3 linked regions of the Anolis sagrei genome follow. The protein of the gene in region 3 binds, or shares a complex with, the protein of the main gene of each other region. Links are inferred from orthologs where the notes say so. Each region holds a gene or a part of one and is shown on either strand. Other genes may lie near its edges.

Evidence for each region. Proteins that work in one complex are often made in the same cells at the same time.
Region 1: CWC22 (region 3) and PLRG1 share a complex: the UniProt entries of both Homo sapiens proteins name them as parts of the minor spliceosome. The link is inferred for Anolis sagrei from reciprocal best matches to the Homo sapiens genes CWC22 and PLRG1.
Region 2: CWC22 (region 3) and RBMX2 share a complex: the UniProt entries of both Homo sapiens proteins name them as parts of the minor spliceosome. The link is inferred for Anolis sagrei from reciprocal best matches to the Homo sapiens genes CWC22 and RBMX2.

Annotation. Positions count from the first base shown.
Region 1 is NC_090025.1:52,014,803-52,025,746, forward strand, and holds the start of PLRG1 (pleiotropic regulator 1), read right to left. Parts: upstream 4,928-10,944; 5' UTR 4,777-4,927; coding exon 4,768-4,776; intron 1-4,767. UniProt on the Homo sapiens protein: Involved in pre-mRNA splicing as component of the spliceosome. Component of the PRP19-CDC5L complex that forms an integral part of the spliceosome and is required for activating pre-mRNA splicing.
Region 2 is NC_090030.1:10,482,621-10,493,161, reverse strand, and holds the start of RBMX2 (RNA-binding motif protein, X-linked 2), read left to right. Parts: upstream 1-5,614; 5' UTR 5,615-5,681; coding exon 5,682-5,686; intron 5,687-8,630; coding exon 8,631-8,746; intron 8,747-8,841; coding exon 8,842-8,893; intron 8,894-9,536; coding exon 9,537-9,666; intron 9,667-10,541. UniProt on the Homo sapiens protein: Involved in pre-mRNA splicing as component of the activated spliceosome. As a component of the minor spliceosome, involved in the splicing of U12-type introns in pre-mRNAs.
Region 3 is NC_090021.1:188,702,042-188,712,431, reverse strand, and holds the start of CWC22 (pre-mRNA-splicing factor CWC22 homolog), read right to left. Parts: upstream 4,772-10,390; 5' UTR 4,713-4,771; intron 2,812-4,712; exon of another isoform or gene 2,766-2,811; intron 2,005-2,765; 5' UTR 1,903-2,004; coding exon 1,876-1,902; intron 1,028-1,875; coding exon 960-1,027; coding exon of another isoform or gene 953-959; intron 1-952. UniProt on the Homo sapiens protein: Required for pre-mRNA splicing as component of the spliceosome. As a component of the minor spliceosome, involved in the splicing of U12-type introns in pre-mRNAs. Promotes exon-junction complex (EJC) assembly.

The DNA.
Region 1 (10,944 bases), on a different chromosome or scaffold from region 3:
TGTTCCGCTGGGGTTTTGTGTGTGTGTGTTTATGGGTGATGGACACTCGCTGGACTGTATTGTGTCCAAATTTTGTGTCAATTCATCCAGTGGTTTTTGAGTTATGTTAATCCCAAACGAACATTACATTTTTATTTATATAGATAATTACGGCTGATAATATATAATATACTGTTCTCTTATTGTATATTTGAATTTGTAATATTTTTGATTGTGAGGCACTTTGAGTCTCCGTATCGAGAGATAAACCAGGATATATACGACTTTGGCCCAATTTACCTGTCTGAACGTATCCTCCCCTATGAGCCATCAAGATTGCTAAGATCGTCTGGAGGGGCCCTGCTCTCGATCCCACCGGCCTCACAGGCGCGGCTGGTGGGGACGAGAGACAGGGCCTTCTCAGTGGTGGCCCCTCGACTCTGGAACTCCCTTCCACTGGAGATCAGAACTGCCCCTTCTATCTTGTTGTTGTTCAATCGTTCAGTCGTCTCCGACTCTTCGTGACCTCATGGACCAGCCTACGCCAGAGCTCCCTGTCGGCCGTTACCACCCCCAGCTCCCTCAAGGTCAGTCCAGTCACTTCAAGGATGCCATCCATCCATCTTGCCCTTGGTCGGCCCCTCTTCCTTTTGCCTTCCACTTTCCCCAGCATAATTGTCTTCTCTAGGCTTTCCTGTCTCCTCATGATGTGGCCAAAGTACTTCAACTTTGTCTCTAGTATCTTTCCCTCCAGTGAGCAGTCGGGCTTTATTTCCTGGAGGATGGACTGGTTGGATCTTCTCGCAGTCCAAGGCACTCTCAGAACTTTCCTCCAGCACCACAGCTCAAAAGCATCGATCTTCCTTCGCTCAGCCTTCCCTAAGGTCCAGCTCTCACATCCGTAGGTGACTACAGGGAATACCATGGCTTTGACTAGGCGGATCTTTGTTGCCAGTCTGATGTCTCTACTCTTTACTATTTTATCGAGACTGGACATTGCTCTCCTCCCAAGAAGTAAGCGTCTTCTGATTTCCTGGCTACAGTCTGCATCTGCAGTCATCTTTGCACCTAGAGATACAAAGTCTGTCACGGCCTCCACGGTTTCTCCCTCTATTTTCCAGTTGTCAATCATTCTTGTTGCCATAATCTTGGTTTTTTTGACGTTTAGCTGCAACCCGGCTTTTGCGCTTTCTTCTTTCACCTTGATTAGAAGGCTCCTCAGCTCCTCCTCGCTTTCGGCCATCAGAGTGGTGTCATCTGCATATCTGAGGTTGTTAATGTTTCTTCCAGCAATTTTCACCCCAGCTTTGCATTCATCCAGCCCCGCACATCGCATGATGTGTTCTGCATACAAGTTAAAAAGGTTGGGTGAGAGGATGCAGCCTTGCCGTACGCCTTTCCCAATCTTGAACCAGTCTGTTGTTCCGTGGTCAGTTCTGACTGTTGCTACTTGGTCCTTGTACAGATTCCTCAGGAGAGAGACAAGGTGGCTTGGGATGCCCATCCCACCAAGAACTTGCCACAATTTATTATGATCCACACAGTCAAAGGCTTTAGAGTAGTCAATGAAACAGAAGTAGATGTTTTTCTGAAACTCCCTGCCTTTCTCCATTATCCAGCGGATATTGGCAATCTGGTCTCTCGTTCCTCTGCCTTTTCTAAACCCAGCTTGAACATCTGGCAACTCTCGCTCCATGTATTGCTGGAGTCTTCCTTGCAGGATCTTGAGCATTACCTTACTGGCATGAGAAATAAGGGCCACTGTACGGAAGTTGGAGCAGTCTTTCGCATTTCCCTTTTTTGGTATGGGGATATAAGTTGATTTTTTCCAGTCTGATGGCCATTCTTGTGTTTTCCATATTTGCTGGCAAATGGCATGCATCACCTTGACAGCATCATCTTTTAAGATTTTAAACAGTTCAGCTGGGATCCCATCATCTCCTGCTGCCTTGTTGTTAGCAATGCTTCTTAAGGCCCATTCAACCTCACTCCTCAGGATGTCTGGTTCTAATTCATTCACCACACCATCAAAGCTATCCTCGATATTGTTATCCTTCCTATATAGATCTTCTGTATAGTCTCGCCACCTTCTCTTGATCTCTTCAGCTTCTGTTAGGTCCCTGCCATCTTTGTTTCTTATCATACCAATTTTTGCCTGAAATTTACCTCCAATGTTTCTAATTTTCTGGAAGAGGTCTCTTGTCCTTCCTATTCTGTTGTCTTCTTCCACTTCCATGCATTGCTTATTTAAAAATAGTTCCTTATCTCTTCTGGCTAACCTCTGGAATTGCGCATTTAACTGGGCATATCTCCCCTTTTCACTGTTTCCTTTTGCTTTCCTCCTTTCTTGGGCTACTTCCAGTGTCTCAGCAGACAACCATTTTGCCTTCTTGGTTTTCTTTTTCTTTGGAACGTACTTTGTTGCCATCTCCTGAACAATGTCACGGACTTCTGTCCATAGTTCTTCTGGGACTCTGTTTACTAAATCTAGTCCTTCAAATCTGTTCTTCACTTCCACTGTATATTCGCTAGGAATGTTAGTGAGATCATATCTAACTGGTCTGTGTATTTTCCCTGATCTCTTTAGTTTTATTCTAAATTGGGCAATAAGAAGTTCGTGATCTGAGCTGCAGTCAGCCCCAGGTCTTGTTTTCACGGACTGGATGGATGTCCGCCACCTTTGGCTGCAAAGGATGTAGTCAATCTGATTTCGGTGTTGACCATCTGGTGAGGTCCATGTATAAAGCCGTCTTTTAGGTTGTTGGAAGAGAGTATTCGTTATACACAGCGAGTTTTCCTGGCAGAATTCTATCAGCCTGCGTCCCGCTTCATTTTGTTCTCCCAGACCATGCTTGCCTGTGATCCCAGTTGTCATTTGACTTCCCACCTTGGCATTCCAGTCTCCTGTAATGAAAATAATGTCTCTTTTTGGTGTATTATCCAGTAGGTCCTGCAGATCCTCATAGAACTGATCTACTTCTGCTTCTTCAGCAGCTGTGGTTGGGGCGTATATTTGGATCACTGTGATGTTGAAAGGCTTTCCTTGCACTCGAATTGAGATCATTCTGTCATTTTTTGGGTTGTATCCAAGCACCGCTTTAGCGAATTTCTTATTAATTATGAAGGCTACTCCATTTCTTCGATGTTCCTCTTGTCCGCAGTAGTAGATCTGGTGGTCATCTGATGTGAAGTGGCCCATTCCAGTCCATTTCAGTTCGCTGACCCCCAGAATGTCTATCTTTAGTCTTGACATCTCACCAATAACAACATCCAATTTGCCCTGGCTCATAGATCTTACATTCCAGGTTCCTATGGTGTGTTGATCTTTAGAGCATCGGATTCGTCGTTCACCTCCAGTACCGTCGGCCGCTAGCCTTCCTTTCGGCTTTGAGCTAGCTGCGTCATCACATCTGGGGCTAGTTGAACTTATCCTCTGCTCCTCCCCAGTAGCATTTTGGCCATCTTCCGACCTGGGAGTCCCATCTTCCAATGGCATACCGACATATCTCTGATTGTACTGGTCCATTTAGTTTTCTTGGCAAGGATACTGGAGTGGTTTGCCATTGCCTTCCCCAGGGATCACGCTTGGTCTGACCTCTCTGCCACAACCGTCCCGTCTTGGGTGTCCCTTCACGGTTTCGCTCATGACATCATTGAGGTGCTCAAGCTCCAGCGCCCCGACAAGGCGGCGATCCTTTGCTGGAGCCTTCTATCTTAACGTTCAGGAAACATGTGAAAACTTGGCTTTGGGGATTGGCTTTCGACGAATGAGCCATGACCCTGTGATATGGATGGATGACGACGAATAATGATTTTTGATGACGACTGACCACTGTAATCATATGACTGTATTTTAATGTTTTAGTGTGATTTAGAATATGATGTTTTAATGACTGTTTGCAATATGGATGTTGGAAACCAGCCTGAGTCCCTCGAATGGAGGTGAGAATACTGCTAAATTTTGTGTCAATTTGTCCAGTGGTTTTTGAGTTATGTTAATCTCACAAACGAACATTACATTTTTATTTATATAGATAATTACTACTTATAATATATAATAATATACTGTACTCTTATTGTATATTTGAATTTGTAATATTTTTGATTGTGAGGCACTTTGAGTCTCCATATCGAGAGATAAACCAGGATATATATATATAATTATATATATATACACACACACAATTGGTTTGGGAGATTCTGGAGGGGTGGGCAGACCGGGGAAGGAAGATATTGCAACTTTCGTTACCAGCTGAGCGTCTCTTATCCAGAATTCCTGAAATCCAAAATACTCCACAATGGTCCACATCAATGGCTGAGACTGTCACCTTCATACACTTTAATTATTTAAAATATCGTAAGCAAAATCACCTTAGGCCTATGTATAAGGTCTATACAGAACATAACTTAATTTCTTGTTTAAGCTTGAGAGATCTCGCTGCTTTTTTTCAGTCTAAGCCAGGCATGGGCAAACTTCGGGCCTCCAGGTGTTTTGGACTTCAACTCCCACAATTCTTAACAGCCGGAGGCTGTTAGGAATTGTGGGAGTTGAAGTCCAAAACACCTGGAGGCTCGAAGTTTGCCCATGCCTGCTCTATGCTGTAAATACAAATTATTCCGAGTGAAAACACGCCCAAGTGGAATAACAGATAGCAACGAAATACTCCTGAGACAATACAGAAACCACCAGCATCCTCCCGCGCCATCCCTTAAACTGGTCTTCATTCCTTAAACTCCGGCAGCCCGGCATTTCAATGCCCGGCCAAGAAAGAGTCCTTTTTCCCTCACCTCCACCATCTTGTCGTCTCGTCTCCACAACTCTTCCCGCCACAACGACCCAGCTCCTTCAGCAGAAGCCTTCCAGATCCAACGCCGAACCTACTTCCGTTAGTCACCACAGAGCACTTCCGGTGCTTTGGAGGTTTTCTTCTTTACCCTGAAGGAACTGACGACACTCTTCTCCGCAGCGCATGCGCAGAAGAACCATGCGGTCTTAAGTGGCGGGGAAATGGGGCGGAGTCCGGATCGACTACGTCATTCGCTCAAGGGGCGGGGCTTAGGTGAAGCCAAAATAGCAAAAGTGAGTTGTAAGTGGTAGAGATGGAGTGTCCTGCAGTCAGTTATTATTTGTATACCTTTTCCCTACAAAACAAGGCAATTCATCATTCTGGAATGTTTTTATTCCCATCCCCAAAATATATACAGTCTTAAAAGTATATAATTCTGGATTATATTTCTTTATTTTGCACTTTGCTCTGAAAACATTTAAAAAAATTGGTTCCAGACTGATAAACTTTTAAGAGTGTGTGCAAATTATTAAATCCATTCCAGAATAGTAAACTCTTAAGAGTGCATTGCATTATTATTATTATTACTACTATTTTGTATATATAGCAAAATTTAAATAATGTATAGTTTGTTTTAGGTGTATTTAAGTGTAACATCTATATAAATAAAAATGTAATGTTCGTTTGTGGGATTAACATAACTCAAAAACCACTGGACTAATTGACACCAAATTGGGACACAATACACCTATCAGGTCAACAAGTGACCATCACTGATAAAAAACACCTTAAAACACAGCAGAAGAGACTTAAAAAGACAGAAATAAGAATTACATTATACACAAAACCACATATATACACAAACTCACATATATACACATATACACAAACACCGAACTTGGAGGACAATCTTACTCGGACAAGGAGGGATCGCCTAAGTAAGTAAGTAAGTAAGTAAGTACACAAACATATATACACACACAAAACACATATACACAGACTGGGCCACAGCAACGTGTGGCCCAGGGGATGGCTAGTGTGTTTTATAGAAATTCATTTTATTGTAATTACTTAGGTGATCCCTCGTCCGAGTAGGATTGTCTTCCAAGATGGGTGTTCTGGCAGTGGGTTCGTAGGTGACTGTGGAGCCCTATTCATGATCTGCATCTTCTCCCACGGTGAGGGCATTGGTTTCCAGGTGGAAGGCGGTCCTGGTTGGGGTTGGCTTGACACGCCTTCCTCTTAGCACATTTCTCTCTTTCGCCCTCCATTCATGCCTCTTCAAATTCTACAGCAGTGCTGGTCATGGCTGACCTCCAGCTAGAGCACTCACGGGCCAGGGCTTCCCAGTTCTCAGTGTCTATGCCAGAGTTTTTAAGGTTTCATTGAGCCCATCTTTAAACCTCTTTTCCTGTCCTCCAACATTCCCTTTTCTGTTCTTGAGTTCGGAGTAGAGCAACTACTTTGTGAGACAGTGGTTGGGCATTCGGACAACGTGGCCGGTCCAGCGGAGTTGATGGTGGAAGACCATCGCTTCAATGTATTTTTAGGTTGTTATATTTGAAAAATGAACAATAAAATTATTTACAATCTTTATGTGTTACAATTATACTGTAACCCACCTTGAGACACAAGGAGAGGCAGGTAAGAAATAAAAATATATTATTCATTGGGGGGGGGGGGATTTCAAATAAATACATTCCTGAATTAAAAACTATTAAAAGTTGTGCACTTTTTGAAACAACAAGAAAAAAAATTTCCAGCATGATAAAATGATAATAGTGTCTGTATTTGGGGAATGGGGTGCAAATAATTAAATCCATTCCAAAACAGTAAACTGTTAGGAGTGTACCGAATTTTCTTTAAAAATGGAAATTGTTTTTTATATTTATTCAGTCGCTTCCGACTCCTTGTGACCTCATGGACCAGCCCACGTCAGAGCTCCCTGTTGGCTGTCACCACCCCCAGCTTCTTAAGAGTCAAGACAGTCACTTCAAGGATACCATCCATCCATCTTGCCCTTGGTCAGCCCCTCTTCCTTCTTCCTTCCTTTTTCCCCAGCACCATTGTCTTCTCTAAGCTTTCCTGTCTCCCCATTATGTGGCCAAAGTACATCTTTCTCTCTACTATCCTTCCCTCCAATGAGCAGTCGGGCTCATTGGAGGGAATGGTGCTAAAGGTGCTAAAGAGAACCTCTCTTTAGAATGGTGTAAACAACCTGATGTGGGGCTTCCAAAACCAGATGTGATCCTTTTTCTTCAACTGAATAGATCTGAAGCAGCCAAACGAGGAGACTTTGGAAGTGAGTGATATGAGAACAGCTCTTTTCAAGAGAAAGTTCTGCAGTGCTACTATGATTTGATATGGACTGGTTGGATCTTCTTGTGGTCCAAGGCACTCTCAGAATTTTCCTCCAACACCAGAGTTCAAAAGCGTCTATCTTCCTTCGCTCAGCTTTCCACATAGTCCAGCTCTAGTATCCATATGTTACTTTGGGGAATACCATTGCTTTAACTATTCATATCTTCATTGCCAGTGTGATGTCTCTACTCTTCACTATTCTACCGAGATTGGTCATGGCTCTCCTCCCAAGAAGTAAACATCTTCTGATTTCCTGGCTGCAGTCTGCATCTGCAATAATCTTTGCGCCTAGGAATACAAAGTCTGTCACTGCCTCCACATTTTCTCCCTCTATTTGCCAGTTATCTATCAGTCTTGTTGCCACAATCTTGGTTTTTTTGATGTTTAACTGCAACCCAGCCTTTGCACTTTCTTCTTTCACCTTGGTTAGAAGGCTCCTCAGCTCATCCTCGCTTTTGGCCATCAAAGTGGTATCATCTGCATATCTAAGGTTGTTAATGTTTCTTCCAGCAATTTTAATTTCAGCCTTGGATTCGTTTTTTGGAAATACATTACAAAAAAATTTAATAATGTATGGTTTGTTTTAGGTGTATTTAGGTATAATATGTTCATTTTATAGAAATTTATTGTATTGTATTTTTACAATGTTTATGTGTTTCAATGACACTCTAACCCACCGTGAGACAAGGAGAGGCAGATAAGAAATAAAAAGTTGTGCATTTTTTGAAACAACAAAAAAAAGAAACTTCTGGAATGATAAACGGAGAAAGAGAAGGCGAAAGATCTTGTAAAAGTACAACTTCTGTGAATCTCTAGCATCGAGTCCTGGCAGTTAAAGTGGTATCAGTGTAGGTAAACCGTTATTCAGCACAATTCTTTTTTTTTTTTTTAACCATCTGGCCCTGGAGCTTTATTACTTTTGGCAGATCGTATTGCCTCTTCTATTTCTTCTATTCTGATTGTTTTTTCTCATGAGAGCTGCAGAGATGTGTGTGTGAATGTAGGCATGTATGCATATGCATATATATATATTTGCATGATTTTAAACTTAAGCCACAAAAGGATGCTAACTCTAGCAAACCCTCTGTGGCCCCTTCCACACAGCTAAATAAAATCCCACATTATTTGCTTTGAACTGGGAAATATGGCAGTGTAGTCTTAGTTCAAAGCAGATACTGTGGGATTTTTTTGCCCTGATATTCTGGCATATAGGGCTAGATTGGGATGCAGAAGCCATGGCTGCCAGATTACTACCAGGCCCAATTCAAAGTGCTGGCTTTGGCCACTAGCTGCAGTGACAACCTCTGAACAGAAGAGTGCATGAGATAGCTATTAATTTGACAACTTGGGAAAACTAACAGATATCAGATAATCAAGTGGTGGAATTGGTCCTCTTTGAATTACATTTTAGAATGTAATGTCCTACACATATTTTGGAAAAGTGTGGATTAATCTCAAGTAAGTGTGTATAGGATGCCATCTTCATTGTTTCCATAGTTGTGATCCTATTCATATTGTGTTGGAAGTAACTTGAGTAATTGAGAGTTCAGGGTGCATGTACACTGTAGAATTAATGCAGTTTGACACCACTTTAACTGCCATAGCTCAATGATATGGAATCAGGGGAGCTGTAATTTTACAAGATGTTTTGCCTTCTTTACCAATGAGTGCTGATACCAACCTACACTTCCCATGATTCCAGACCATCAAGTCATGACACGTGTGTATACCCATCAACTGTACCCTCAGTTGATGGGTATACACACTTGCAAACACACACACACACACACAGACACACACATATACACATACAGGCAGTCCCCAAATTCCAAACAAGATGGATTCTGTAGGTTTGGTCTTAAGCTGTCCCATCCCCCCTAAACACACACACACACACACACAACCCCACCAGACCAGACTTAAAAACCCAAGAAAAGACACCATATATACATATACACATACACTCATATACATATACACATGCACACATTAATACACACATGTATATATATGCACAAATACACACAAATATACACATATACACACATATATAATACACATGCACATATACATATGCATACACACAAATTTGCTTATAGACAAACACACACATACATAATATGCATGTACACATATAAATACACAAATATATACACACACATATATACCCCCACATATATACAAACACACATATATAGACAAATATATACACACAAAACACATATACACAGACTGGGCCACAGCAACATGTGGAAGGGGACTATATATCTATATATATAAATTTGTTAGGGGCATCCATCGAGGAAACAAAACTCAAAAAACCCCCAACGAAACTTAACCAAAATTCCCATGCCCATAACACAACCCACAAGGTACAAACATATCTACTCAAAATGAAAAACAACACAACAACACACTCACAAAACGGCAAAACAACAAAACTAAAAAAAACCCCAACGAAACTTAACTAAAACCCCCGTGCCCATAACACAACCCACAAGGTACAAACATACCTACTCAAAATGAAAAACAACACAGCAACACACTCACAAAACGGCAAAAGAACAAAACTCAAAAAAACCCCAACGAAACTTAACCAAAATTCCCATACCCATAACACAACCCACAAGGTACAAACATATCTACTCAAAATGAAAAACAACACAACACACTCACAAAATGGCAAAACAACTGAGCATGCGCATTGGCGCCCAGCCGCAAGTTCCCTGGCGCGCGCACATGGCCTTCCGGCCAACGTTCCCTCTGCGGAAACCATGCCCACTCCAAGCCCTGCCGCGCCGCTTCCCGCACACACACACACCCTGCCGCACACACACACGCAACCCCACGCTCCATCACTCCCCCCGCCGCCGCATACACACACGCAACCCCACTCCCCCCGCCGCCACACACACACACGCAACCCCACGCTCCATCAGTCCCCCCCGCCGCACACACACGCAACCCCACTCCCCCCACCGCCGCACACACACATGCAACCCCACTCCCCCCGCCGCCGCACACACACACGCAACCCCACGCTCCATCACTCCCCCCGCTGCCGCACACACACACGCAACCCCACGTTCCATCACTCCCCTGCCCCAATCTTACCTCCTTTTACTTCATGCCACCTCCAAACCCCACCCCGCCCCTTCCCGCCCTGTCAAAATCTAGGAAAGACAGGAAGGAAGGAAAGAAGGAAGAAAGAGAAAGGGAGGTAAAGAAAAAGGGGGAAGGAAGGAAAGTTAGAGGAAGAAGAAAAGGAAAGAAAAGAAAAGGAAAGATGGAAGGAAAGAAAAGAGAGACAGCAGAAGAGAAAGAAAAAGGGGGAAGGAAGGAAAGAGATAGAGAAAGAAGAGGAAAAGGAAAGATGGGAAGGAAGGAAGGAAGGAAGGAAGGAAGGAAGGAAGGAAGGAAGGAAGGAGGAAGGGAGGGAGGGAGGGAGGGAGGGAGGGAAAGAGGGAAGATTGGCCACAGCAACACGTGGCGGGTAAAGGTTGTTATTTCTATTATTATTATTATGCTATTGTTCCTATGAGACCCTTTTAGGGGGAATGGGAGAGGTGTCAGGTCCCAGAGGCAATGCACTGCATTATTGTTATTGTTAGGATGGTGGTGAAATAAAAGGAAATAAAAAGTGAAAGAAGGAAGCAAACAGGGAGGGAAGAAAGGCAAAGGAAGGAAGGGGGAGGGAATGAAGGAAAGAGAGAAGGATGAAACCAAGTAGTGAAAGAAGGAAAGAAAGAAAGAGGTAGAGAAGGAAGAAAGGAGAGAAAGGGGGAGGAAAAGGGGGAAGGAAGAGGTAGGGACCTCT
Region 2 (10,541 bases), on a different chromosome or scaffold from region 3:
ATCTGGATTTTATATATTTATTATTATTATTTATTATTTATTTATTATTTGCATTTGTTAACCGCCACTCTCAGCCCGGAGGCGACTCGTGGCGGTGTACAAAACATAGAACATAAAGACAACAATTACAATAATTAGGAACATAACACACATCTACTAACACACAACTAATTAAACTAAAAATCCGCTTCGTCTTGTTTGGGTCATAATCCATCTCGTCGTCATAATCCATTCCGGTGGTCATAACAAAAGAAACATAGCACTTAATTAAAGGCCTTTTCAAAGAGCCAGGTTTTCAAGCCCCTACGGAAAGCCATGAGGGACGGCGCCTGTCTAACCTCAGCAGGGAGGGAGTTCCACAGCCGGGGGGCCACCACGGAGAAGGCCCGCTCTCTGGTCCCCGCCAAGCGTGCCTGCGAGGCAGGCGGGACCGAGAGAAGGGTCTCCCCGGATGATCTTAAGGTCCTCGTGGGCTCGTAGGCCGAGATGCGGTACTCAAGGTAGCAGTGTAGAAGGGACCCTTGACTATTGAGGAAGACAAATGGATTTGATGAGCCTGGAAAAGCAAATATATGTCTTGTGTGTTTTCACCTCTTTGAATGCTAGCACATGGGTTTGTGGACGAGCCACAAAAGTAGATAAAACATGGACCGGGGGTTACTGGTCAGTTTCTGGGTGATTCCATAGAATCATGGGGCTCCCAAGGGCCATCTAGACCAACCCTCTGCAAGTGCAAGAACCTGAAACATCCCTGAGAATTAGAATGCTTTAAATTTAAAGGAGAATTCATTCTTATCTCAGGCAGTCAATTGCACCAAGAAGAAAATTATAAATGTCAGTCTGATACCACCATCCCAAACTTGCACTGTCAATTTTTGTGTGTGGAAGGGTTATGTTTTGTTGCACCTTGCAAACCTCCGGTTCTCATCTCATTTATTTTAACGTGTGGAGTGTCCCCACTTAAGAGGCATTTGTGTGTGAGTAAGTTCACGCAGGTATTGCAAAAGAATGATTTATAACCGAGCTGTTGTAATGCTTTAGATTGACAAAGTGCTCTTCACAACGGTAGTTCGTGATACGGATCTGATTAAATGGGCCATGGTACACACAAGCTTTCGCCAAGGTGTTTGTTCTGTTCTTTCGGATTGCATAAAATGTTTTGCTGTGTTTGCTTTAAAGGTGATATAGGGGAACCCCTTCTATACACTGTTTTCTATGGATATTATTATTATTATTATTATTATTATTATTATTATTATTTCCAGCACTTATACCCCGCCCTTCTCACCCCCGAGGGGGGACTCAGGGTGGCTTACACAACGAGGCACCATTCGGCACCCATACAATTACATTTATACAAGTGACAATCATAATAAACAATTAAAACAGTTATCATGGTTAAAACAACGATGCAAATTAACAATCAGTAACACAGCATATAGAACAATTCACGTGTTCAGCATTTGTCTTTCCGGGTTCCAGATTCCAATCCATTATACCTTTCCTAGATGGTATCCATTCTTCACCTGCTCATTGACCAAACGCTTGGTCCCACAACCAAGTTTTGAGTTTTCTCCTAAAGGAGAGAAGTGAGGTCACTGTTCTGATTTCCCCGGGGAGCGAGTTCCACAGGCAGGGAGCCGCCACCGAGAAGGCCCTGCTCCTCGTCCCCGCCAGCCTCACTTGTGACACTGGCGGGGTCGAGAGCAGGGCCCCCCCGGCCAATCTTAAACTCCGGGTGGGACGTAAAGGGACATTATACTGATGGAGTATAATGGGAACTGTAGTATGAACGTTGTTCCCACGTTGCTCATCATGCAAATCCTCTTTAGGAAATGCCTAGTTGGCATAGAACGGTCTGTTTCTATTGGAGGGCTGTTCAGGACCAGAGGCAGGGTACCTCAATATTTTTTATTTTCCCTCCCAGAGAATAATAAAATCATAGAATGATAGCGTTGAAAGAGACCACATGGACCATCTAGTCCCGTGATGGTGAACCTATGAGACGCGTGTCAGCACTGACACGTCGCATAGCTATTTTTGATGACACGCGGCCACATGCGGCCGCATACAGAGAAGTACACCTTATAAGAGCCAATCTAATTCCATTCTTAAATCTGTAAAAGGCTCTACAAATTTAACATCTGCACGTTTGAGCATTGTTCACTCCATAACTCAGCATGGAATATACATTATGTTTTTTTTCCTCAAAGTTGACACCCCACCCAAGTTATGCTCAGGTTTTTGGCAAATTTTGACACAGTAAACTCAAAAGGTTGCCCATCACTGATTTAGTCCAATCCCTGAGATACTGAGAGGTTAAGAGATGGGAAAGTGAAAATACAGTGGCTTGAATATGTGTTGTCAACGGCTTGCATGGCGGGAATAACTGGGTTGCTGTGAGTTTTCCAGGATGTATGGCCATATTCCTGAAGCACTCCATAGTGTTGCCCCTATGATGCACTTTCCCCAGTCCTAAATTGAATGCCTACCCCACTGTTTAGCCTTTTTGGGTTCCCCTTAATTACATATTTTCTTTCCTACTTCATCCAGGGTTTTGTCATTTTACCTCCTCCATTTGGCCTGTGTTAATTTGTTTTATTTATCCTATTTTGCTACTGTACATTATTTTATTTTGATGTAATTTTTTGTTTTCAGCATTCTGTATTTTATTTTGTTGTGTTGTATTTGGGCTTGGCCTCATGTTAGCTGCCCTGAGTCCCCTCTGGGGAGCTGGTGGCGGGATATAGATAAAGATTATTATTATTATCATCATCATCATCATCATCATCCTCTCCGGATGTTTCACCCACATCTATGTCAGGCATCCTCAGGGGTTGTGAGTTCTGTGGAAACTAGGCAAGAACATAAATCTGTGGAATTATGTTCAGGGTGGGAGAAAGAACTCTTGTCTGTTTGAGGCATGTGTGAATGTTGCAATTGGCCGCCTTGATTAGCATTGAATAGCTGTGCAGCTTCAAAGCCTGGCTGCTTCCTGCCTGGGGCAATTCTTTGTTGGGAAGTATTAGCTGGCCCTGATTGTTCCATGTCTGGAAACATTTCTCAGCAAAGGATTCCCCCAGGCAAGTAGCAGCCAGGCTTTGAAACTGCAAGGCTATTCAATGCTAACCAAACCGGCCAATTGCAGCATTCACACTTGCCTCCAACAGACAAGAGTTCTTTCTCCCACCTGTTCACCCTCCCACCCTGGACATTATTCCACAGATATGTAAACCCAATTTTCCTAGTTTCCAACAAACCTCACAACCTCTGAGAATGCCTGTCATAGATATGGGCGAAACGTCAGGAAAAAATGCTTCTGAAACATGACCATACACTCCAGAAAACTTGCAGCAATCCAGGTTTGAATATGACTGGCAAGATGGAAGGAAACATCTCAGATCCGAAAAATTGAGGGAAAAAAGACTGCTGCTGGTGAGTCCTGAATGACTCAGCTCCTCAGGCACCAATGATACCATTGTGTGCCAAAAAGGTCATTCCCTGTCCCTTTGTGAAGCAGGCTGTTCATGGCTCCCTGCTGATGGCCTCCTCTGCCGGCTGCAGGCGGATCAATAGGGTGTCCACTTCCAGACAAGGTTTTAATTGGCCTGCCTTGTTGACTGAAATGCTACAGCAGAGTTCCATAGCTGTGCAAGTCCAGTGCTCTTGTGTTTTTCCACTGCTGCTTCTCTCTCTCTCGTTTTTTGATATGAAAAATCTTGCAAAAAGGAGTATAGCATTTAGATCAAAGGAAGTCATGGTGCTCATCTAGTCTGCTTTGCTCGGACTTCATCTGGAATAACACTCCGTTCAATCCTGGGCAAAACAATTTAAGAGAGATATTGACAAGTGGAATATGTCCAGAGGAAGATGACTAAAATGTTCAAAATCTAGAGACCATATATACCTTTGAAGAGCGTCTTAAAGAGCTAGGTCTGTTTAGCCTCCAGATGAGAAGGTTGAGAGGAGACACGAGAGTATAAATATTTGAAAGGCTGTCATAAGGAAGAGGGGGCAGGCTTGTTTTATGCTGCCCTTGGAATTAGGACTTGGAGCAATGGGTTCAAATGACAGGAAAGGATATTCTACTTGAACATTAGGAAAAGCTTTCTTACTGTAAGGGGAGCTGTTGAGCAGTGGAACTCTCTGCCTCGAGGTGTGGTGGAAGCTCCTTCCTTGGAGGCTTTTAAACAGGCTGGTGTGGCCATCTGTTGGGGGTGCTTTGATTGTGCTTTTCCTGCATGGATAGGGGTTGGACTAGATAAAAACAATAGTAATTTATTTTTTTAGCATAAACATCAAATGAAAACTATTATTATATTATTATTTCTATTCTGCTGTTAGATCTAACATGGAGATGCAAAGTGGCTCCCAACAATTTAAAATATACAAATATTTATTTATTTATTATTTACGACATTTATATAGAATCATAGAGTTGGAAGAGACCTCATGGGCCATCCAGTCCAACCCCATTCTGCCAAGAAGCAGGAATATTGCATTCAAAGCACCCCCGACAGATGCCCATCCATCCTCTGTTTAAAAGCTTCCAAAGAAGGAGCCTCCACCACACTCCGGGGCAGAGAGTTCCACTGCTGATCAGCTCTCACAGTCAGGAAGTTCAGATGGAATCTCCTTTCTTGTAGTTTGAAGCCATTGTTCCTCGTCCTAATCTCCAGGGAAGCAGAAAACAAGCTTGCTCCCTCCTCCTCCCTGTGGCTTCGTCTCACATATTTATACTTGGCTATCCTATCTCCTCTCATCCTTCTCTTCTTCAGGCTAAACATGCCCAGCTCCTTAAGCCGCTCCTCATAGGGCTTGTTCTCCAGACCCTTGATCATTTTAGTCGCCCTCCTCTGGGCACCCTCCTCTGCTGCCCTTTTCACCCCGAAGGGGATTCAGAGCGGCTTACAAGGTATATATACATACAATATATTATATTATTAGCATAGTACAATGTCGATATTGAATATTACTATTTTGTACTATACCATTATATTGTAATATTATTACTAATATTACATGTAATATAAATATAAAATTATATCATATTAGTAGTAGTATATTGCATTACATTATAATATTATACATACTACATGTATATACAATAAATTATACTACATTATATTATAAATTTATTGTAAATTATTATAAATTCTCCCTCCAAACTATAAATATTAAAATAGGATCAAATACACACCTTGGTTAAAATCTGATGGCTTTTTTGCTAGGAAGGGACTGGATCCCATTGCACTGAGCCATAGTAATGCAAGTGGTGTCAAACTGCATTAATTCTACAGTGTAGACGCACCCTTAGTTATTAAATTCAGTGTTGTAATGTATATTAGGAGTTACATGCATTAATTATTGTGAGATATGAGGTTTGAGATTTAATTGCATTAGACGCATTTATGACACTTTTCAGGGCCAAAAAAAGAAAGGAAATCTCTGAGCTGCCAGCCTTTTGGAACTATCAACAAAGCTGCGGTTGCGCATGCGCAGTATCTCGGCTTCCAAAGCGGCGCGTGAAAGCAGCAAAGAGCACGAGGCAAGGGACGATCGTGATTGGCTGCTCCCGGAGAAGGCTCGACCTATCCAGAGAGAGGACGCGACCTGACGCTCGCCGAAGCCTGCCGGGAAGTAGCGCGCATGCGCAAACTCACACAGGAAGAGAAACCAAGATGAAGTAAGTTTTGGGTGCATCTACGCTGTAGAGTTAATGCAGTTTGAGCCCGCTTTAACTGCCAGGGCTCGGTGTTATGGAACTGTGGGAGTTGGACAAATTTGACAAGGTCTTTAACCTACCTTGGCAATTTTAAATTGGCATTCTATTCTTACTGTATTTTTAATCATTGTACAGTTTGGCTTTTTAAGATATGTATTTTATAGTAATGTGTTCTAAAATATGTATTTTAGTAATGCATTTTAATATAAGTATTTTATAGTGATGTGTTTTAATATATGTATTTATAGTGGTGCATTTTAATATATGCATTTGATAATAATGCATTCATTAGGCATTATTATCAAATGCATCATTATCAACCGCCTCGAGTCGCCTTCGGGTTGAATGGGGCAGTATATAAATATGGTAAATAAATAAATAAACAAACAATGCATTTTAATATATGTATTTTCTTGTATGTGTTTTATGTTGCTGTGCTTTGACAGTATTTATTTATATTTATTTATTTATTTGGGGTTCTTGTACCCCGCCCTTCTCACCCCGAAGGGGACCCAGGGCGGCTTACAGCTGCAAGGCGCACTTAGACGCCTGCTACACAAACAATCATCACAAAAAATATAACAGTACAAATTCCCACAATTCAACATTATCCAATAAAATCAGTAAAATGATAAAATCAGTAAAAACAATACAAACCTGGAACTTCCTCCTACCCATCAGTGTACAATTAACTCAAAGATCTGTTTTGGTTCCATTTCGACAATCCTGCCGATCTCACACATCTGATTGTCTTATTTGGTTGTCATTGTCTAATTGTCTGGTTGCCCAAAGGCTTGGTTCCACAGCCATGTCTTCACCCTCCTCCTGAAGGAGAGGAGGGTTGGTGCTGTTCTGATTTCCCCCGGGAGTGAATTCCACAGGTGGGGGGCCACCACTGAGAAGGTATTGTTGTTGTTATTATTATTTATTTGCTATATTTATATACCACCCCTCTCAGCCCGCAGGCAACTTGAGGCGGTTCACAAGGCAACAATTCAATGCCCAACAACATCATAAAAACATTTTAAAATATTAACATATAATATCAACCATAACAAGTTAGTAAAACAAATCATTTTGTACCCCATCTCAAGGGAAAGTGTGTGACAAAAACATTATTATTATTATTATTATTATTATTATTATTATTATTTACATGTACATAATGTTACAGCACACATGCACATTAGGTCCAAGTGTCTCTTATTGTTGTTGTTGTTATTATTATTATTATGTTTATGTTTATTTATACCCCACTTTATCTCTTTTGAAGGAGACTCAAAACGGCTTAAATTAAAAGTATGACCACACTGTTCAAAATATACAAATATGCATACATTAAAACATAATTAAAAATGTTGTTGTTATTATTATTATTGGCTAATAGTCTTACAAATGATAACTCCCATGATTACACAGAATAAGCCATGGCAGTTATCGTCAACTCTTTTTTTTTCATGTCAGGAGTGACTTGAGAAACTGCAAGTCACTTCTGGTGTGAGAGAATTGGCAATCTGCAAGGACGTTGCCCAGGGACATCCAGATGTTTTATCATCCTTATTTACTTATTTATTTATTTGGGGTGCCTCTACCCCGCCCTTCTCAACCCCCTAGGGGGGACTCAGGGCAGCTTACAAAAGGCACAATTCGATGCCCAACAATTCACAAAATACAATATACAAAATTACAAAATAACGTCAACAGTTATAAGTAGTCCCTTCATGTCCCTTCACGAGGAGCTGGAACTGACAAAGGGAGCTCATCTGCGCTCTTCCTGGATTCGAACCTCAGGCCTGTCAGTCTTCAGTCCTGCCAGCACAAGGGTTTAACCCACTATGTCACCAGCGGCTCCTGGTCAACTGAATTAATTCAGTAGTTTAGATGCACCCTGGGTCATGGTTAATAGAAAGTTAAAACCTGGCTTTTTGAGCAAGCATTTGCAAATGCAGTGTAACTGGCAAATCTAGATCCATAGAATGACTAGACGAGGCAAGTCGAAAATTATTTTAGTAAGGAGACGCTGAGGACTTATGCTTTTATTCGTTTTATTTGATTTTATATTATAGGTTGAATGTTTTAAATTGTGTTTTATGTTGTTGGAGACATCGAATTGTGCCGCCTGTAAACTGCCTTGAGTTGCCTTCAGCAAATAAATACATAATAGAAAGCCATGTAGCAAATTGAGTCATGGAGAAAGGGTGGTATGAAAATGAAGTAATATAGTTGGAGATAGCAACCTTCTCAAGCTTCCTCTTTTTAATGTTTTGTCTGTTTATAATGTGTTGTTTATTTCCTGTAGTGTATGTCTTCTTTGGTTTGCAGTCTTCTTAGCTTTATGTACTAGAGGCAGTGGGAGGGGCTATAGACCATGTGACTGGTTCGGTGACTCCTTAGAATGAAGTTTAAAAGGATGGCAGTTGAGGAATGACAGTTGAGGCTTGAATCAGCTTGCGTACAGAAGCCAGTGTAGGAAGTTAGAAGACTGTTAAGGTTTGAGTCCCTTGGAAGTAGACTGTTATGAAAGAGAGCTGTCCAGAGCGATATAGTTTTGAAGAGACTGTTGAAGATTATTAAGTTAAAGATACAAACTGAAATGTTTAAAGTTTAACTTGATAAGAAATGTGCCTATATATTTAAATACATGCAGTTATGAGTATTGTAAAGAAGTCTACTTGAATCTTTGTCTGCTGAGAGCATAGAATAGAAACAAGATATTTACACGCCCAGTGATCATCCATTACCCAATAAACTATAAGAGCGCTTCTGAAATTCTGCTATCCAATAGGTTATGATCCTAACATAATAAATATAAATATTGAGAACCCCAATTATCCCAAGTCAGGTGTGGGATATGCAGTGTGGCTTTTGGTTTCAGCTCCCCTTTTCTGTTTTTACCCTTTTCTAGCCCACTTACTAAGGTGAAGCTGATCAACGAACTGAATGAACGTGAAGCACAGCTGGGAGTGCAAGATAAGGTTTCCTGGCATTCGGAATACAGCGATAGCGCTTGGGTGTTTGTGGGTGCGTGCCATGTTCTTGGAATATGATAATTACATTGAATTATCTTTGTGTTTTTAAAATTCAAATCTTTATTAATGTCTTCTCTTTTTTTCTAGGGGGGTTGCCATATGAACTGACAGAAGGGGATATTATCTGTGTATTTTCACAGTAAGTAAAAATAGGTCTAATACACCAAGATTATGTTTATTTAAGATTTTTAATAATGTTTCCCATAAAATCAAAGTAAACAGCAATTAAATAGATAGATAGATAGATAGATATAGTTTGCATGATTATTAAAAAAATCTTAGTGCAATAATAATAATAATAATAACAATAATAAAAAAAACTTTATACCCCGCTCCATCTCCCCCAAGGGCAGTTTACATGAGGCCACGCCCATCAATACAATGCACAACAATATAACACAAGAACATAATAAAACCAAAAAATAAAATACATAAAATGCAAAACAATTTAATAAGCAACACAACAATATGAAATCAGACATTAAAACAAAAAAGATTTCGCTGGGCAGGGCCAAATTCAGGACACATTGAGTTTAATAGGACTGACCCTCAGGTAAATGCATATTGTAGGGTTTCTCAATATGCAATATGCAAAATAAATATTCTTTTAGCTGTAGGTATAATAATTTAGCAAATACAAGTTTCGGAATCTGCTTTTTGACCACATTGCTATCAGAAAATGTTGTGAAGCTTTGTATGTTAGCACTTGTGTTTTGTTAAACTGACTCTGCTTGGTCTTTTTTTGAAAGTGGAAAAGTTGAAGTTACTGCCTTTCTCTGCAGATATGGGGAGATTGTGAACATAAACCTGGTTCGTGACAAGAAGACAGGGAAATCCAAAGGTTTCTGCTTCATTTGCTATGAAGATCAGCGAAGCACCATCCTTGCAGTTGATAATTTCAACGGGATAAAGGTGGGTGATCTGTCTGGCAAACCAAGTACTATATATATTTAGTAAAATGAAGGAAATGCAATAATAACAGTAATAATAACAGTAATAATAGAGTAAAATAATAAATGTAAAAAAAAGAAAAAATACAATAAAATAATTGAGCAAAATAATGGATATATAATAATAATAAATAGAGAAAAATAATAAATGCAATAAAATAATAATAGAGTAAAATAATGGAAATGCAATAATAATAAATAGAGTGGCTCCCTGACTCTGGAACTCACTTCCTGAAGAGATTAGGAAAGCCCCTACCCTAGAAACCTTTAAAAAGAACCTTAAAACCTGGCTCTTCCGCTGCGCATTTGATGAATAGATTTACATCTTCACACTAGTGTTCAGCTTCAACGTTTTTTGTCATTCGAGTATATTCCCCCCTTATGGGAAAGCTTGGTTCCACGACCTCCACTATAATGAGCAAATCAGTTTCTATTTTATCTCGCCTGAGTTTTTAATATGCTTTTAATCAGCCTTTCTTTTATCCATTACATGTAGCTTGCCCATTGTCATTGTGATTGTGCTTATTGTAATTTTATATTGCTATGTTTTCATTTGTTTTATGTAATTACATTGTTATTGTTTATTATTTGTGTTTTCGGTTTTATTTTATGTTTGGGCTTGGCCTCATGTAAGCCGCTCTGAGTCCCCATTGGAGAGATGGTGGCGGGGTACAAATAAAGTTTATTATTATTATTATTATTAAAATAATAAATGTAATAAAAATAATATTAACAGAGTAAAATAATAAATAACCTTGACTGAAGTATAAGCCAAGGGGCTGAAAAACTCAGCTTATATTCGAGTATATATGGTACATGATTGGTGCAGTTTCATCA
Region 3 (10,390 bases):
CCTTAGATTGAAATCTGCTAACAGGACTCACACAGGAGTAGAGTGTGAGTAGACATAACAATACAGGCTGTTGTTCAACGAACAAGAACTGTATGTGGAAGCAGCTTTTTACCACAGACTGACCCCCTCTTCCATTTTAAGGTGTACACATATGCATGTGCGTGCCATGTCAGAGACAGAAGGTTCTCAGATCTAGAGCCTGAGGTTTCAAGGGCAATACACATGTCAGTTTGCATCATTTCATGGTAGTGAAGGAATTGTTCTGGAATATGACTTTGTTCGTCTATTGCGTAGGGGGAAGGGTTATGGATGTACGAAGCAGCAGACAGGCATTTCACTAATGCCGCCATGGTTTGTTAGAGTGTCAGATGTGTGTTTCTACAGAGGTACTGTTTCATTTGCCTTCTCTTCACAGCTAATCTGCCTCTTGAGAGCAGTTTAAGTTCTTATTGTTTTAACACATAATGCATTTGATGAAATATTCTAACACTGTTAATAGCTCAGATCTATTGCTTTAGTCCCTGCAGTGATTTTAGCTTTTGTGCTTGTGGTTATATTTTTTAGTATCCATTCTCAAAATAATTGACTGTCCCTAAACCAGTATCCTTAGATGTAATCCACATGTATACTAAATGAAACTATTCAAAAGAATATTATTGAACTTTAGTTATGTGGGATGCCAAGTACAGCATTTCCAGGTTTAACTTTGGCATATATCATTAATATGGACTCTCTAAGAATCTCCAGGTCCTCCAATATGATTGTATAGTCAAGTTCCAACAGATGTTGACCACAGAATTGCACAGGAAGACCTAGAGATTCCTAGAGAGATATTATCTCAGTTGGAAAAAAAAACACTGTTTAATGTTCAGCCTTCCCACTTTCAAGGGTGTCCTGTGTTCTAACCCCATTGAATGTGGAGGGCTATCAGTAAAAGGAAAAAAAAAACAACCTTTTACCTGTCTTCTGGAGACAAACTTCTCTGTCGAAGATTGTTAGTTTCTCTCCTTTCATAACTGGAACTGGACTATAAATACAACAAATTTTAAAATTAAAGTATAAATACATCGGCCAGAGCGCAACATGTATTCTAAGACCTCCCCATTACATTCCCTTGCACATGAAAGAAAGCTGTTCATCAGATATACAGAGTGGTGTAGAGAGGCACTTGATGTTGGACAAAAAGACTCCAGTCAGAAAAGAAAAAACACCATTCCCTCCTACCATCCACTTGCCACTCATGAAGTGGTTTTGAGAATCTAGTCCATGGATGGGGAACATGCAGCTCTCCAGATGTTTCTGGATTTCAACTCTCATCATCCCTCACCACTGGTTATGGTGACTAGAGTTCATGGGAGCAGCAGTCCAATAATTAGGAGGAGTCGGTGTTCCCATAGCTCACTTCTAAAAGAACTCATTTACACTGGATACAACATTTCCACCTTTTCTGCAGGTTGAATCTGACTCACTATGGTTTCAAAGAAATGAATGTTAATTGAACATAACTGAAATGAACAGGTCCTAGTTATATCTCCTCCAATATCAGATGGGATTTGGTGCCAGCTAGATAAAATGCCAAGAATCAGTCCTCTTTTTTTTAAGAGCAGCACATGCATATCTGGCTGCTCTCTCATCTTCTGCACACATAAAAGTGTTCATGGTTCTCAATGAGAATGTGAATAAGCAGGGAAGCAGACTCCATTTAATTTTTCTCCTCCGCCATCACTTTACATGGCAATACACAAAAAGAGCAGGAAACTGGTCACTCATTCCATTACCTTGTTCCTTCTATGAAAGAAGTAACAACCATCTTCCTTGCCAACCTGCAAAGCCAATGAAGCCAATGCCAACCTGCAGAGCCAATAAAGAACTTACATTCACCTGTGTCACCCCACTCTTCATTTTTCTTCCTCTTGATCCACTACAAGCTTTGAATTGATAATGAACAATGTGCAGAAATCAAGTTGAAGGATATTTGTTATTCTTCCAGGCAAAACAGTTCATCTGTAAATAAAAAACAACATCTTTTTTAAAAAAAACACCAGAAAATGCAACTAAGGCAATTTTGCAAGTCTCCTATTTAATCTAGACCTATTATAACCTGTCAAAAATGTTCATAGATTAAAAATACCCACAAAATTATTTTCTTGGTAATTCATTAGTCAGTGTGTGTAGAAAATGATGTGGAGCCACAAAAAATGCAGAAGTGCAAAAGACAAGGCAGACAGAAAGAAAGGCACACCATGCCATAGATGAAAGATGTAGTTATGGGTACAACTCACACGGCCAGATTACAGCTTGGAGGGGTTAGATATCGGAAAACTGGTTTGCATTTACTGATCTCACATACATTCACATACATATTCACACAAATTGCGAGAAATGAGCAAGTCAGCACATCCGAAGTGACACGTCGCAGAAGAAATTATTCCATGGCATTGAGAGGTTGAGGAAAGAGGAGGCAAAGAAGCATATTCACCCAACCCTGCAAAACAGCCTCCAATTTAGGGAAGCCAGACTGAAAACTAGAGAGGGCTCCTATTCCTTTAATGGCTGTGTAGAAACTTCAGGAAGTTTTTGACTGTTACCCAGCTATGGGGCAAGTAACATCTACTGAAATTCCCTCTTCTATATGTTCCAATAACAGTAAAGAAACAATAACATCTGCATAGCCTGACATAGGGTGGTGGAGGTTGTTGTTGTTAATTACTACAAAGTCAACTTTGATTTATGGTGACCCCATGCATAAAAGGCATGCAACTCACCCTACTATCCACAACAGCCCTTGCAGACTCAAGGTGGATCTACAATCTATATAAATAAAAATGTAGTGTTAGTTCATGCTGCCATCAGAACTCAAAAACCACTGGGGGAATTGACACCAAATTTGGACAAAACACCTAACAGTCCAATGTATGTCCACCACACAAAAAAAATTGATTTTGTCATTTGGGAATTGTCGTTGCTGGGATTTATAGTTTACCTACAATCAAAGAGCATTCTGAACTCCACCAATGATGGAATTGGGCCAAACTTAGCACACAGGGCTCCCATGACCAACAGAAAAAACTGGAAAGGTTTGGTGGTCATTGACCTTGAGTTTGGGAATTATAGTTCAGCCACATCCAGAGAGCACTATGTACTCAAACAATGATGGATCTGGACCAAACTTGGCATGAATATTCCATATGCCCAAATATGAACACAGATGGAGTTTACAACAGAAAATACTTAAGGCCATCCAGTCCAACTCTCTTCACCAGGGCAAGAAAATGTAATCAGAGCCCTTCTGACAAAGACCCATCCAGTCATAAATATAGATAGATAGATATGATTCTCTCACACACAGATATAGTATCATAGATTTGAAAGAGACCCTTAAAGAAGGACAATGTCCATGTTGCATATTCCAGAGTAAGCAAACCAGACACTCTCCACATCAACACTGACAAAGAAACAACAAGAAATACTGTTTACTCACAATCATAAAGGAAATACATATATTAGAAACCAACACTTTCTCATGACTTTATTTTCCAGATCAACAGACTGGGTCACTGCAACACGTGGCAGGGGACAGCTAGTCCTATATAAATAAAAATGTAATGTTCATTTGTGGGATTAACATAACTTAATAACCACTGGACGAATTGACACCAAATTTGGACACAAGACACCTAACAACCCAACGTATGTCCTTCATGCAAAAAATTGATTTTGTCATTTGGGAATTGTAGTTGTTGGGATTTATAGTTCACCTCAATCAAAGAGCATTCTGAACCTCAACAACGATGGAATTGAACCAAACTTGGCACAGTTCTCCCATACTGGAAGGGTTTGATGGGTAGTGTCCTTTGGTTTTGGAGTTGTAGTTTTCCTACATCCACAGATCACTGTGGACTCAAACAATGATGGATCTGGACCAAACTCTACACGAAGACTCAATATACCCAAATGTGAACACTGGTGGGGTTTGGGGAAAATAGAATTTTGACAATTGGGAGTTGTAGTTAGAATCAAAGAATTGGAAGAGACCTCATGGGCCATCCAGTCCAAACCCCTGCCAAGAAGCAGGAATTGCTGGGATATATAGTTGCTGGGATATATAGTTCACCTACAATCACAGACCATTCTGAACCCCATCTATAGAATTGGGCCAAACCTCCCACACAGAACCCCCATGTGGGCCACAGCAACGCAAGGCTGGGGATGGCTATCACCATATAATTCAGATTATCAAATCTGCTTCAGGACCCATTGATTTGTCTTTTTGGCTATGCAAGAAGTGTAGAACACACTTTGACGTGTTTATTTTCTTCCTCTCAGCTTTCTTCGCTACAGTGTAGGTTTAATGAGGTGTGACACAACTGTAACTGCGATGGCTCAATGCAATGGAGTCGTAGTTTAACAAGGCCTTGAGCCTTCTCGCCTGAAGAGCGCCGGCGCCTCATCAACCCACAGCTCGCAGGTTTCCACCGAGTCCTGGGAGTTCAAGCGGCCTGGGGAGTCAACTTGGGAGAGGGAGTGGGAACTAAGGCGAACAGTGAACAGATGTGAAGCCTTTTCGCCCTCCCAAACGGGAAGGCCGTTGCCAAGCAACTCCTGTCCTTTTCCCGCCACCTCCCTTCGAACGGAGAGACAATGAAAGAGAGAGAGAGAGAGGAAGGGTCCCAAACTGAAACTTCCGCTTCCCTTTCTTCCCCACAACTTACCGTCAGCTCCAGAGCTCCGCCATTACTGAGCGCGCGAGCTGACGCTGCTGCGATGACGCCACTTCCGCCAATTCGCCTGCCAATCAGCTACAAAACAGAAGGTGGGACTTCCGGAAGGAATAAATATTGTATTTCTAGGCGGGGGGGGGGATCTGTGGCCCTAGTGACGTCACTAGGACAGAGTCAGCTCTAGAACTAAGCCATTTCTACTATTCACAAAGAAACTCGCGCGCACATGAGAACAAGAACTATATAAAAACAGAACAAAACATTATAAAATAACAACAAAACGCAGACACACAAACAAAGACTCCCTCCTTCCTTTCTGATGGTTATTTTCCCATGTTAATCTCGCTTTAAACGTCACTCCATGCAGTCATGCAGGCCACATGACCTTGGAGGTGTCTACGAACAACGCCGACTCTTCGGCTTAGAAATGGAGATGAGCACCAACTCCCAGAGTCGGACACGACTGGGCTTAATGTCAAGAGAAAACCTTTACCTTAATCTAGCTTTAATTTTATGTAAAGTGATTTTTGTTCCTGGGCTATAAAGTGTCATTTCCTAATTGGTTCTATCATCAAAACATGGGAAAAAGTTGATTAGACTCCACAACCTTTGTTTTGGCAGGACATCCTTAACCAAATCTAATGATTGTGCTGCTATGAATAAATAAATAAATATGACAATTGGGTTTCAATTATATGATTAGCGTTCAATGCTTATGGATTCCTAGCTAACATGCACATTTGTAAACAAATCATGTTTAGTCCCCTTCCAAAGGGATTCTTAGGCAAACATTTCTGCAATTTTTTTTTGTCGTTTCAGGAGTGTCCTGTTGTGAGAGAATTGGCTGTCTGCAAGGACGTTGCCCAGGGGAAGCCCGGATGATTTTTGATGTTTTTATCACCCTTGTGGGAGGCTTCTCTCATATCCCCGCATGAGGAGCTGGAGCTGATAGAGGGAGCTCATCCGCCTCTCCCTGGATTCGAACCTGCAACCTGTCCTGCCGGCACAGGGCTTTAACCCACTGCGCCACCGATGTATTCCTGTGTGTTCTCATGCAGGCCAAAGACTTATGTTGCTACATGTACACTGTAGATTTAATGCAGTTTGATCCCACTTTAACTACCATGGCTCTATGCTTTGGAATCCTTGGTTGTAGTTTGACAAAGCCATGTGATAATATGATTGCTGGGTCTGGAAGCTCCGAGTGTTACACTATTTCTGCTTCGCTCCTTCGAGAGCGCTGTTTGCGTAACACGGTACAGAACACGTGACCGAGACGGGGGCAGAGTGAGAGACTGAGGTAATATAAGCCAGGCCGGACACAGATATTATAGAAGGGATGTAAGACTTTGGTAATAGTATGATAGCTGGGTCCAGAAGCTCCAAGCGTTATGGAGATGCCACATCGCTCCTTCGGGAGCGCTGTTTGCGCAAGAGAGACTTAGCTAATGTAAGCCAGGCCGGAGACAGATAATATACAAGGAATGGAAGAGTTCTTTAATGGGGAAACCCTAACCCTGAACCGTACCGTAAGCCTAAGCCTAACCCCTTACCCAAACTCTAAATCTAACCCTTACTCTAAACCAAAACCTTACTCTAACCCTTACGCTAACCCAAACCCTAAAGTGTACCCTAAATGTAACCCCAACCCTCACTCTAATCATAAACCTAACCCAAACACAAACCCTAAACCTTGTCCTACCCTTTACCCTAAGCGTCCTCTCCTCTCTATCCTTCCCTCGCTCTCCCCGCTCTCACTGCTCCCTCTCTTCCCTTATTCACAGCCGCCTTGCAGCATCTCTGGAATGCTCGGAGCTTCCAGACCCAGCTATCATACTATAACCAAGAGTTCTTTAATGGTAAAACCCAACCCCAAACCCTAACCCTTACCCTAACCCTAAGCCTAATCCCTAACCCTGGAGCCCCCGGTGGCGCAGTGGGTTAAACCTCTGTGCCAGCAGGACTGAAGATTGACAGGTCACAGGTTCACAAATCCAAGGAGAGCATGGATGAGCTCCCTCTATCAGCTCCAGCTCTCCATGCGGGGACATGAGAGAAGCCTCCCATAAGGGTGGTAAAACATCAAAACATCCGGGTGTCCCCTGGGCAATGTCTTTGCAGATGGCCAATTATCTCACATGAGAAGCGACTTGCAGTTTCTCAAGTAATTCCTGACATGGCAACAGAAAAACAAAAAACCCTAACCCTAACTCTTTCCCTAACCGTAAGCCTAACCCCTAACCCTAACCCAAACCATAAACTTTATTCTAAACCTTATCCTAACTCTCCCCTCCTTTCTATCCTTCCACCAAATGCAGCTATGAAGTATATTCCCGCCCTCAGTGTGCCGTTCCCTCTCTGAACCACGTGGTCCCTTCCCTTATTCATTTCCTTATTTTATTCACAAATAAAAAATAAATAATCTTGTATAAATCAGTTACAGCCTCAGAGGAAAACATTGCACTGAAGTTCTAGCCTTGATTCCTTGGGACAGAAGAAGACAAGTCATGAAGTGCAGATGGAGCCCCCAGTGGCGCAGTGGGTTAAACCCCTGTGCCGGCAGGACTGAAGACCGACAGGTCGCAGGTTCGAATCCGGGGAGAGGCGGATGAGCTCCCTCTACCAGCTCCAGCTCCTCAAGTGGGGACATGAGAGAAGCCTCCCACAAGGATGATAAAACATCAAAACATCCAGGCGTCCCCTGGGCAACGTCCTTGCAGACGGCCAATTCTCTCACACCAGAAATGACTTCCAGTTTCTCAAGTGTCTCCTGACACGACAAAAAAAAAAAATGAAGTGCAGATATGAGTTAAGCATTTAGCAACTTGGCCAGGAGGACAGGGTGCTCACTGTTTTCACTGGTAGGAAACCAAAAGTCACCACAGAAAAAACACACTCAAATATTATAGTGTGGATCAAATATAGTAGATAGAAAGAACGTATTTTGGGTTGGATTATTCTTTTTGCAACCAGCCTTTCCCCCTTTCCCCCCCACATCTTATGTCCTCCCACAATGTATTGGCCTGACAAGTGGAACTCAAAGGAGGGCCCCTCCAGCAGACTTCAAATCTCAGGCCCACTGTCATCTATCAAGGTCCCAACGTGGTTTTAATGTTATTTCCAGCAGCTTGAATATAAACAGCCAGTGCAATTCCTTTAAAACTGGCGTCTTGCAGATTCTCGACTTTAGCTCTATTTTTCAGTTTGAAGTCAATAGCTGGGAAGTTGTTGCCATCTTAGCTGAGAAAATAAAACCTTTAGTTCAAAAAGGCCAAAATGTCAGCCAAAATGCACATGAAAAGCAATAGGATTGTAAGACTGGAACAGTAAAATAATAATGTGGCTGTATGCCTTTTCAGGATAGTATTTTTTCATGCAAGCCTTGTCTGGTGAAAATGCTGTGCTGCTAATTAGCATTTCCATTTGAACGCAGTGAGATGTTGCTGAAATTGCCACAGTTCAGTTGTCTCATAGAAGGACTAACTGTGTTAACACTTATCTCATAGGAGGAAATATAACACTTATCTCCTGAGATGCTGTAGCTATAAACCATTTTGCTGATGAAGCAGCAGGCACTTTCACCGCAGGAATGCTATCCCCTGCATTTCTTGTTTCTGAAAGGCAAGACTAAAGATGCTTCGGTATACAGAAACCACCTATGGAAGTCTGACTTTTTGAAAGAGAAGGAACAATTTGTTTGCAAAATACTCTTCCTGCAGCAGATGGCATATAATATGCCTTTGCCTTCATTGGACTCCAACGTCCTCAAATTATTATGAGAAGTGCCATTTACTTCATGGAGGTCAGCATCAGCAAAATGTTCCCAAACATTGTAATAAGCTCTCTGGGATTCTTTTTTCAAAACCTACCACAAACTTTTCTGCTCACTCATATCTCTGACCTTTTAAGAATAATTCCAGTTCTAACTTAGCTATCTCTTGCCAATGATTACTTTCCTACATAAAGCCTCTTCTGTCCTGATATACCAGTCAACAATGAAGAACTCTAATAAAAAATGATGAATAAGTATATCATCATCTTGGTTTTCCAGTTGCTTCACAGTACTTTGTCCTACTACTTCATCACACACATTAAATTCCACTGAGGTAAAGGTAAAGGTTTTCCTCTGACATTAAGTCCAGTCGTGTCCAAATCTGGAGGGTGGTACTCATCTCCATTTCTAAGCCGAAGAGCCAGCATTGTCTGTAGAACCTCCAAGGTCATGTGGCCAGCATGACTGCATGGCGTGTTGTTACCTTCCTGTCAGAGCAGTTTAGCAGCTCAGCAGTTTAACCCACTGCGTCACTGGGGGCTCCAAATTTTACTGAGTCACTCACTTGAGAAACAGCAACCTACTGTGTTCATGACATGACATAGACTTCAAATGTAAGGTAGAGATATCTTGGTGTTTTTTAAATGTTTTAATTTTTCCAGGATGAAGTGGAGCCATTGGTGAGCACCCTTTGGGTACAGTCACTTAACCAATGACAGATCCACCTAATAATAGCATTGCCTAGCCCACATTTGACTTGTTTACTTGCAAGAAGGTCATGAGGAACTTTGTTGAGGGCCCTACTGAAATCAAGATATGCTACATCCACAGCATTCCCTGCATCTACCAAGCTTGTAACTCTATCAAAAAAAGAGATAAGATTAGTCTGGCATGACTTGCTTTAGAGAAATCCAGGTTGACTTTTAGTAATGACAGCATTCCTTTCTAAGTGATTGCAGACTGCCTCCTTAATGATCTGCTCCAGAATCATTCCTGGTATTGATGTCAGGCTGACTGGTAGTTGTTTGGATCCTCTTTTTCCCCCCTTCTTGAAGATAGGGACAACATTTGCCCTCCTCCGGTCTGCTGGGATTTCTCCTGTTCTTCAAGAATCCTCAAAGATTATCACCAGTGGTTCTGAAACTACTTCTGCTGGTTCCTTCAATACTCTTCTCTACATAGGTGCCCCCTAGGGACACACATTTTTTGCATAGTTGCTCCAAAAGCCACGTTGTGACTTCAGAAATCAGAGTTTCACCTGAAAAATGCTTGCCCTTCAAAAGTAACTTCATTGTTGGAAAGAAGTGTAAGTTCAGTGGTACAAAGTTGAGTGAATAAGGGGGATGTGGAGGAATTTCAAAGTCACAGGAGCATGCTTCCATTGGGCAACATGTGAGTTGTAAACTGGTGCATTGTCTTGTAGAAGGCAGACACCTTTGTTGAGAATTGCACATCTTTTGGTTTCCATGGCCTCCCACAATTTCCATAGCAGTGGAGCATAGTATGCCCCAGTGATCATGGTAACCTTTGCTAGGAAATCCATCAATCCTACTCCGTGCTGGTCCCAAAATACTGTGAGCCTGACCTTGCCTGCCGAGAGTTGGGCGCATACCTTCTTTGGAGGCGATGAGTCAATGCATTGACAGGTCTTTAGTCTCAGGATCACAGTGATGGACCCAGCTTTCATTCTGTGTCATCAATCTGTTGAAAAAGTTCTCCTGGTTTCCATGGCACATCGTTACCCGACAGCATTTGGCTCGTTCCTGCTTCTGGAAAGGCGTGAGCAGCTGGGAAACCCAGCGAGCGGATACCTTATCCATGTGAATATGGTCTTGGACCCCACACTAATCTTGACATTTTGGGCTAGGGGGTGAATGGTTATGTGGCAATTTTCCAA